Linked DNA regions of Cricetulus griseus. The protein of the gene in region 1 interacts with the protein of each later gene in a pairwise test. Links are inferred from orthologs where the notes say so. Each region holds a gene or a part of one and is shown on either strand. Other genes may lie near its edges.

Region 1 (3,643 bases):
GGAGGTGATTCTCACCTGCGGCAAAGCTGAGCTCAGGCAGGGCCTTGTTTTGAATCCCTGACCTTTGTCCTAAGTTCTTTAGACTCTGTCTTTAGACTCACAGAAGATCCCTAAGAGGGGAGCTGCTGGCCTATTCATGCCCAGATGTTGCCCCTGGGTAGACAAGCCTATGAGCAGGTTAGGGAAAGCTCACTTTATGGCAGAAAAAGCGTCAGGATTTTGAGCGTGGCCATGTACAGTTTGCCCCTGGGGTCTTGAGGGCACAGGTGGAAGATCCTTGCCAGTAGGTGTTGGATGGTTTGTTGTGTTTGTACATGTGAAGCCAACTCAGGAGGTTGAACCAATGCCCAGGGAACCCACCTACTGGTCCAACAAGGGCTGGCACAGATATAATGTCTTCACTGACACAGAAATTGGAAGCTAACAGATAGAACCATGAATTCTGATGGCTAGGGCCTGCCTGCTGTGCTAAGTAGGGCAGACAGAGCTGCATCCATGCAGAATGGCCAGGGACAGAACATTCTAGACACAACCCAAACCCACACTGCCTAACACACACTGGGCCCTCAGCACAAACATACCTGCCCCACTTCGGGATGCATCACAGCCTAGTGAGCTGGAGCCCAGAGAATCTGAAGTGGCAGAGGCTCCGCTTCTAGACAGTGCTGACCCCGTGGCTGAGCAGAGATCCTCACCCAGCAGGAGGTTGAGCAGGTCACTGGATGTGGAGATGGCATCACTGTTCTGGGTGTCAGAGGGCTCGTTGCACTTTAGGGACAGGAAAAAGACACTGATGCTCAATCATAGGGGCTTAGGGACAACATAGCACACAACACACAATATGGTGGGGTGGAGCCCAGGGAGCGCACTGGGTGGCTTTTGTGCAAAGATCAGCCACGGAGCACAAGCCTTTACCTATCAGGTGAGCAGATTTTGCACTTATGGGAGTGTGGGGAGAGGGTCGCTGATACTCTATGATACTACCCAATAAAATGTGACTTTGGGAGAGTCACAGCAGACGGCAGGGCTTGCACTCAGTGCAAATGTGCCAAGATGCTCCTCAGCCTCCTGAGTATCGAGCCACCCCATAAGTGAGGCTCTGAGCCCCAGTGGGTCCTGGGGCCTTAGAGAGCAGACAGGCTCTGAGAGAACCACTGCCCACGAATACGGTCCCACTTTCTGAACAGCAGCCCAACACCTTACAAAGGCAGCCGCCATTTCCTGAAAGCTCCTGCCACCTGGTGCATGGGGCTGACTCAGGCTGCTGCGACCACATAGCTTGCTCTCTCAGAAAACATTAACTGGAAAAGAGCCCTTACCACACCAGGGATTATTGGCTTCCAAGCCAAAAGCAGAAACCCCCCTCATCTTCGTGAGCCTCGGGGACCTGTACTCCACCAGGCAGGCTCCTGGCCACTGCAGGCTGGAGCCTGTCCCTTCTCCCCATGCTGGGCTTCATTAAACTTTGAAGGCTAGCCACACAAGGGCATGGCTTTAATCCCAGCGCTGAGAGCAGAAGCAGACAGATCTCTGAGTTTGAAGCCAACCTGGTCTACATAGCAAGTTCCAGGCCAGTCAGGGATAGAATAAGACTGTCTCAAGGAAAAAACAAACAAACAAAAGAGTTTTAAGACTCATTAGAAGCTGGGCATTGGTGGCGCACGCTTTTAACCTCGGCACTCAGGAGGCAGAGGCAGGAGGATCTCTGTGAGTTTGAGGCCAGCCTGGTCTACAGTGTGAGTTCCAGGATAGCCTCCAAAGCTACACAGAGAAACCCTGTCTCAAAAAAACAAAAACAAACAAACAAAAAGACTCATTAGAAATGTGAGGCCCCAAAGTTACACACTATTCCTGGTCCCCTCATCGGCATTATCTGTTATCCTCATGTGCTTCCTACTGAGCTCCAAATAATGTTTTATGGTAGGGCCTCATAACCATAAATGGCATGTTCTTGAAAAGACACTGTAGCTTGAATCCAGGCCTCTACGCTGGCAGGAAGCACCCAATCCAGAACCTTCTCTCACATGAGGGTATGTGCTGACCACCATGTGGTTCAGCCTACTGCCTGAAAGGAAGGAGGCACAGCACAGAATCCTTACTGTTGGAGGTGCCTTTGGCTGCCGATCTCGAGACGTGCCAGCCGTGCAGTCCAGACCAGAAGCTGCTGTCCCTGTGGTCCCCAAGGTCCCTGGGGCTCCAATGCTGCTCTCAGGTGCCTCCTCTAGCTGAAGCAGGTTAAGCTGCAGGGGACTGCTGCCTCGGGACTGGAAGAGTGGTGGAGAGGCCCTGCCTGAGGCCACGGTGCCTGCTGGAGGGGTGGCTGGACAAGTGCATGACTGTCTGAGCACCGAGGTCCGACTGGGGAACTCAGCCTGGGAGGCAGGAGCTACTTCAGAGGCAAGTGTGGGGTGGGCTGGAAAGGGGGGCTGGCTGGGGAAGAAGGCCTGAGGCAGGTTTGGGGTTGCTGGTGGGAAAGGGTAGCTGGGTAGCATGAAGGCCATGACTGGAGTCAAGGGGGCAGCAAATGTCAGGGGCTGCACTGCAAACTCGGGGTGGGTGCCCATAGGCACAACAGGCATGGTGAAGCCGGGGTGGGCAGGTGCAGGTGGTGCCCCCACAGTCCCTGGTGTAGACACTATTCCAGGTGCCTGGAACACAGGCAGAGGGTAAGCTGGCACTGAGGCAGGGAAGGGTGCAGAGGGGCAACTGGACTGGGATGTGTCAGAGGGTGACCAGGCTGTGGCATTCAGGCCCACGAGGGGAGGACGGTGGGACACAGGTCCTCCAGATCCTGTGCTCTCAGAAGAGTCCTGAGTCTTGACACGCTTGGACTTCAGTTTTCTGTTCTTTCCAGTTTTTTTCCAAGATGACTCTATTCCGGAAGTATTTCTTAGTCCTGGGGTAGCTAAATGTGGAAAAACAATCAGGGTGAAAACTGAAAAGTAGCTGCAAGCCGTACTATGTCAACTCACAGCAAGTGTAAATGCCAGACACCTGACAGCACCTCTGAGTTTCACAGCCTAGAAACAACACTCGGTTTTTCTCATTCCATAGCCAGTGAGAGGACCTGAGGTAGGTTTTTCATAAAATTGAATTCCATCAACTTGAAGGTGCATCTTTAGTTACAAAGCTGTATTCCTCTCTTCTCCTCCAAGTCCTGTGCCCTGTCTCATAAGCACCTTAAAGGTCCTGTGTCCAAGGAGAAGTTAAGTTGAGATGGACCAGGAAGTATCCTCACTGCTGCCTAGTTGCTATGTGGGTTGCTGAGGGGTAAAGTTACCAACAACAGTCCAATCTATCCATGAACTACAATAATCACAAGTGTGACAAGAAATGCCCTTGGGTGCAACACTGGCATGGATGTTATGGGCAACCAATACCACTTTCTGACTCAATTTAAGGTCCCCTCCACAGGAGGAAAGGCATGCCTGATACTGCAAGTCTGGCCAAGAACCCATGTTGGTGAGGTCATAGGTCCCAGGAGTAAACCTATTATTATTGTTTTGCTAATTATATATAGTAGCAAACTGACCTCCAAATTCATATCTCTGTACCCACAGACCTCACTGGAAGTTTCTCTGCCCAAAACTTGGCAGTTAACACAGAAATTCACAACTAGGTGTCAGTAGAGTGCTCAGCCACA
Region 2 (4,120 bases), on another chromosome or scaffold:
AAGCTGAGCAGTTCCCAACTACCCACCACTCAGGGGCCACTGGTTTGTTTGCCTTCTGGTGTCTTCTGTCTCCAGCCATGCTGTGTAATGCTCCCCCCTGTCGTGACTGCCAGCTATGTACAGGTAGGTACTACAGCACCACCAAAAGGAAGGTGGTGGAGCCAGGAGAGTAGAAGAGCTATGAGCTCCATGTGTTCCTGCAGGGCAATTGCTGGACCGCTTTTCTCGCCCACCAGCCAGGAGTTGCTCTGAGGTGTCACCTGTGCTCCAGACCCCTGTGCACAGAGTGGTGTGGATGCTAGCTGTCCAAATATGAACATTAAATTGATCTGTGGCTCTGTGTTTCTAGCTGGATGGGGTGGGCCGGCCTAGAGAGCCATCTACTTGGGAAGCTGGACCCTAGTTTGGGTGCACCTCCTGTGTGGTGGCTTCTCCAAAGGCCTCCCCAGTGGTCAGAATGGACAGCCAAGTCTTGGGAGCTGGCTATTAGCCTGGACTTCAGAATTCATGTTTGCATTTTCCGGGCAGAATATTCAAATCCAATACAGACCAGAAAAAAAATGTTGACATACATGGTCTCCAGGCAGCTGGCACTGGAGAGAGACCCGGGCCTGGGACACACACTCTACACCCTCAGTGAATTCATCATTTACCTTCTGCCCACCGTGGGTCCTAGGAAGACACTCTTCTTCCATCCTTGATGTGCAAGAAGGTGGCAGGCAGTGGCAGGCCACAACTACACATGTTCTGCAGCCCTCAAAGCCCAGGACTGACTGGTGGCTCCTAGAAAACAGTCTATTTGTGACCCCAGAGCCGTTCCTGGAGCTCCCTCTCTGCCCCGTTCCCCGACCTGCAAAGGGCAGCACTTTAGGGCCTTCCCCAGGCTGTGCAAAATCTTCCCCATCATGTTATTTTGGTCTATTTAGTGGTGTGTTCAGGGGCAGGGTCTCTGCAGCCCCAGTGTGGCCTCGAACTCAATGATCCTCCTGACTCATCATCCCAAGGGCTGGAACTACAAGACGTTCTCTACCACGCACGGTTTAGCTTCCTCAGATTTCTGTTGGACACAAACGGAGAGACCACAGAGACTAGACGTAGTCGTCCTGCGGCAGCGGTGGACAGTGGGACAGAGGAAACCGTTCTGGTTGCGACTGCGCAAGCCGTCAAGTATCCAAACCCCGCCCCCGAGCGCCGTGGCCCCGCCCCTCTGGGTTGCTAGGGGAAGTGACGTCACAGCGCGATGGCGGCGGCTCCTTTAGGCAGCTGAAGGGGGATTTAGGCCCGGAAGATCCGAGTCCATCCGCGGCGGGGAGAGGGTGAGCGGGGCCGGCAGGGGCCGGAGCAGCGGCGGCGGTGCTCGGACTGTCCCATCCGCCCCGTATTGAGGCGCTGAGAGCGACGGGGCAACCAGAAAGCGATGGTGAAAGCGGGGCCGTGAGGGGGGCGGAGCCGGACCGGACCCGCAGTAGCGGCAGCAGCGGCGCCGCCTCCCGGAGCACAGACCCAGGAAGCGGCCGGGCGGGCAGCAGCGAGCCGCACCGCCGCCATGGAGCTGAGGGTCGGGAACAGGTACCGGCTGGGCCGCAAGATCGGCAGCGGCTCCTTCGGAGACATCTATCTCGGTGAGGCCCGGCGCCGTCGAGCAGCCCGGAGCCGTGCGGGCCGGCGGGCGGGGTCCCCGGCAGGCCGAGGCCTGCGTCAGGCCGTAGTGGACACTCGGCCGCTCGGCATCCCCGCACTCCGAGGGCCGGGCTACCGGCCGCGGCCTACATCAACGGCCGCTGGCCGAGCGCGGCCGGGGGCTGGGCGCGGCGGGCTGGGGGGGCGGGGAGGGGCTGGGGCACCGGGGAGGGGGCAGCTGGGCTTTGGGGGCTGCAGGACCGTGGGGGTCGAGATCCGAGCGAGCCCGGGAGTGGCCGGGGCCCCGGGAGACGAAGAGCGGCGTCTGGGGGCGGGCGGGGGGCGGCGGGCTTCGGGAGACGTGGTGGGGTGTCGGAGGGCGTGGGAAAGGACGGCGGGCTCGGGCGGGGGGCCGTGTTGGAGCTCGTCCAGGGGGCAGCGGGGCGGGGGAGGCGGCGGGCTGGGGGTGGGGCCCTAAGGGGGCAGGGCCCGGGCTGCGGGGCCCCAGAGGCGTCAGCATCCTCCCCCACCTAAGGTCACCGCAGTAAACAAAGGCCACGCTCTGCTCCTCGCTCGCTCGGAGGGTCTGGTACTTACTGCCCCTCGCCCCTGCGGGGTGATCCTGGGTGTTTTGATGTGTGTGTGGGGGGGAGAAACGTCAAAACAATCCGAATGGAGCGTGGAGGTGGGGAGTGTCCCAGCCCGAAATGGGGAAATGACGGGCTGGCTTCTAAGGGTTCTTGTGGCTGTCTGAGCCTGCCCTTTTCCACAACGCTGTTTCCAGTTTAGCTGACCTGCCGAACGGATCGTCCACCTTACGCCAAAACAGGACTGAAGATGTCCCCTTTGAGCTCGGTCAGCTCCTGGCCCTTTGGCCGTGGGTCCTCAGTATATGTTGAGCATCTTAAGTTGACTACTGGACACTCGGATGTCAGTGGGGATGAAGCTTTGATTAATGCTGGCACAATCTTGTCCATGTGGAGAGGTTGGCAGAGCAGAGCAGAGGGAAGTGGTGTGAAAGTTCTCATCCCTTGACTCTCAGAATTCACAAGGTAGACTTGAAAATCCAGACTTAGGATTCGACTGCCCTGGGTTAGCTCAAACTTAACAGTGAAGACTGTGTGTGTGTGTGTGTGTGTGTGTGTGTGTGTGTGTGTGTGTGTGTGTGTGTGTGTGTGTGTGTGTGTGTTTGTGTGTGTGTGTGTGCGCATGTATGTAATTACAGGCTTGCTTAAACCCACTTGTTGGGAATTTTAAAATGAACATTTTTACCCCCGTGTCTCCTAGTGGAATTGTAAGTCATTCCAAAACCCCTGAACTTCTGGTGATGAGCATCCTGAAGATGGTTGCCTGTTAGAGGCAAACATGCTCTGCTGAGTAGCCCGGTCTTCTGCGTTTGTGTGGCAGTTGTACCTGTAGTGCAGAGTCAGGAAGAAGCAGTGCTTTGGGCCTTGCCTTTCAGGCTACCCAAGTTCAAGACCTTCCTACTGTGACTCCTAGGACCTTGACAGCTGGCAGTGTGGGGTGGACAACTGGCCTGTGTGGGTAGTTCATAGGTATTTATGGTCCCTGGTTAGCGTGTAAGGTAACCCTGCTCTGTGCCACCACACGAGTGCTTTGAACCTGTACTTCTTGCCATAGTGGCCTGATGAGTAAATATGTTTTAGAGATACTTGGGGTTTGCTTATTTAAATATTTATGATCAAGTAGTCAGCCAGATGCCTTCTCGGCAGTGTTTGGGAGTCAGAGTGCTGGGTAAATGGGAGATGTTTGGCTTATTTATAGAACAATAGATCTTGGCAGGATATAGGAGCTATACTGAAAAGGCAATCCATTAGCCACCCTTTCATGGGCACCAGAAAATAGGTATTCTGAAACTTTTTGTTCCCTGAGATTTTGCCAAGCAGTTTTGTACTTTGTGAAGATTGATCCTAACAACCAAATTGTGATGTGGAGTCACATGCCATTCAGAGAGGTAAACTCTTCTCTGGGAAGGGTGCAGGCTCTGTCTGGGGATGCAGCTTACTCAGTCACATCTTTTCAGACCTGCCTGGTTCCTGCAGCCTCATGTCCCAACCAGAGCAGTGGGACTTGAGGGAAGGGCTGAGAGGCTGCCTTGAACCAGTGCATACACATCCTGCCCAGGATCTTCTACAGGCATGTGGGTGGTGGCCCATCTGATCATGTGAGGTAACTTTTTCCAGGAGTTCCATTTTGATGACTTTTGATGTGAGGTGGATTGCTGGGATCCTAGGGGTCAGAGTCCCTGGCTTACCTGTCTATCATGGTGTGTGGGGTTTTCGGTTGTTGTGTTTTGTTTTAAGACAGGATCTCACCATGCAGCCCTGGCTGGCCTTAGACTCAGAGATCTGCCTGCCTCTGCTGTGTGCCACTGTGCTGGGGCCCGGTTGTGCCTCTTGTGTGGGATTAAATACTGCCAGGCCTTTTCTGTCAGCCTTGGCTCTAAGCCCTCATTACTTTCCTTCCAAGCTACACCCTT

The links. The genes of interacting proteins can lie anywhere in the genome.
Region 2: the proteins of Per2 (region 1) and Csnk1d interact in binary tests that used the Homo sapiens proteins (3 or more experiments, as listed by UniProt). The link is inferred for Cricetulus griseus from reciprocal best matches to the Homo sapiens genes PER2 and CSNK1D.

The regions. Positions count from the first base shown.
Region 1 is NC_048595.1:442,946,441-442,950,083, forward strand, and holds part of Per2 (period circadian protein homolog 2), read right to left. Parts: intron 2,906-3,643; coding exon 2,100-2,905; intron 769-2,099; coding exon 582-768; intron 1-581. UniProt on the Homo sapiens protein: Transcriptional repressor which forms a core component of the circadian clock.
Region 2 is NC_048600.1:133,470,262-133,474,381, reverse strand, and holds the start of Csnk1d (casein kinase I), read left to right. Parts: upstream 1-1,235; 5' UTR 1,236-1,546; coding exon 1,547-1,622; intron 1,623-4,120. UniProt on the Homo sapiens protein: Essential serine/threonine-protein kinase that regulates diverse cellular growth and survival processes including Wnt signaling, DNA repair and circadian rhythms. It can phosphorylate a large number of proteins.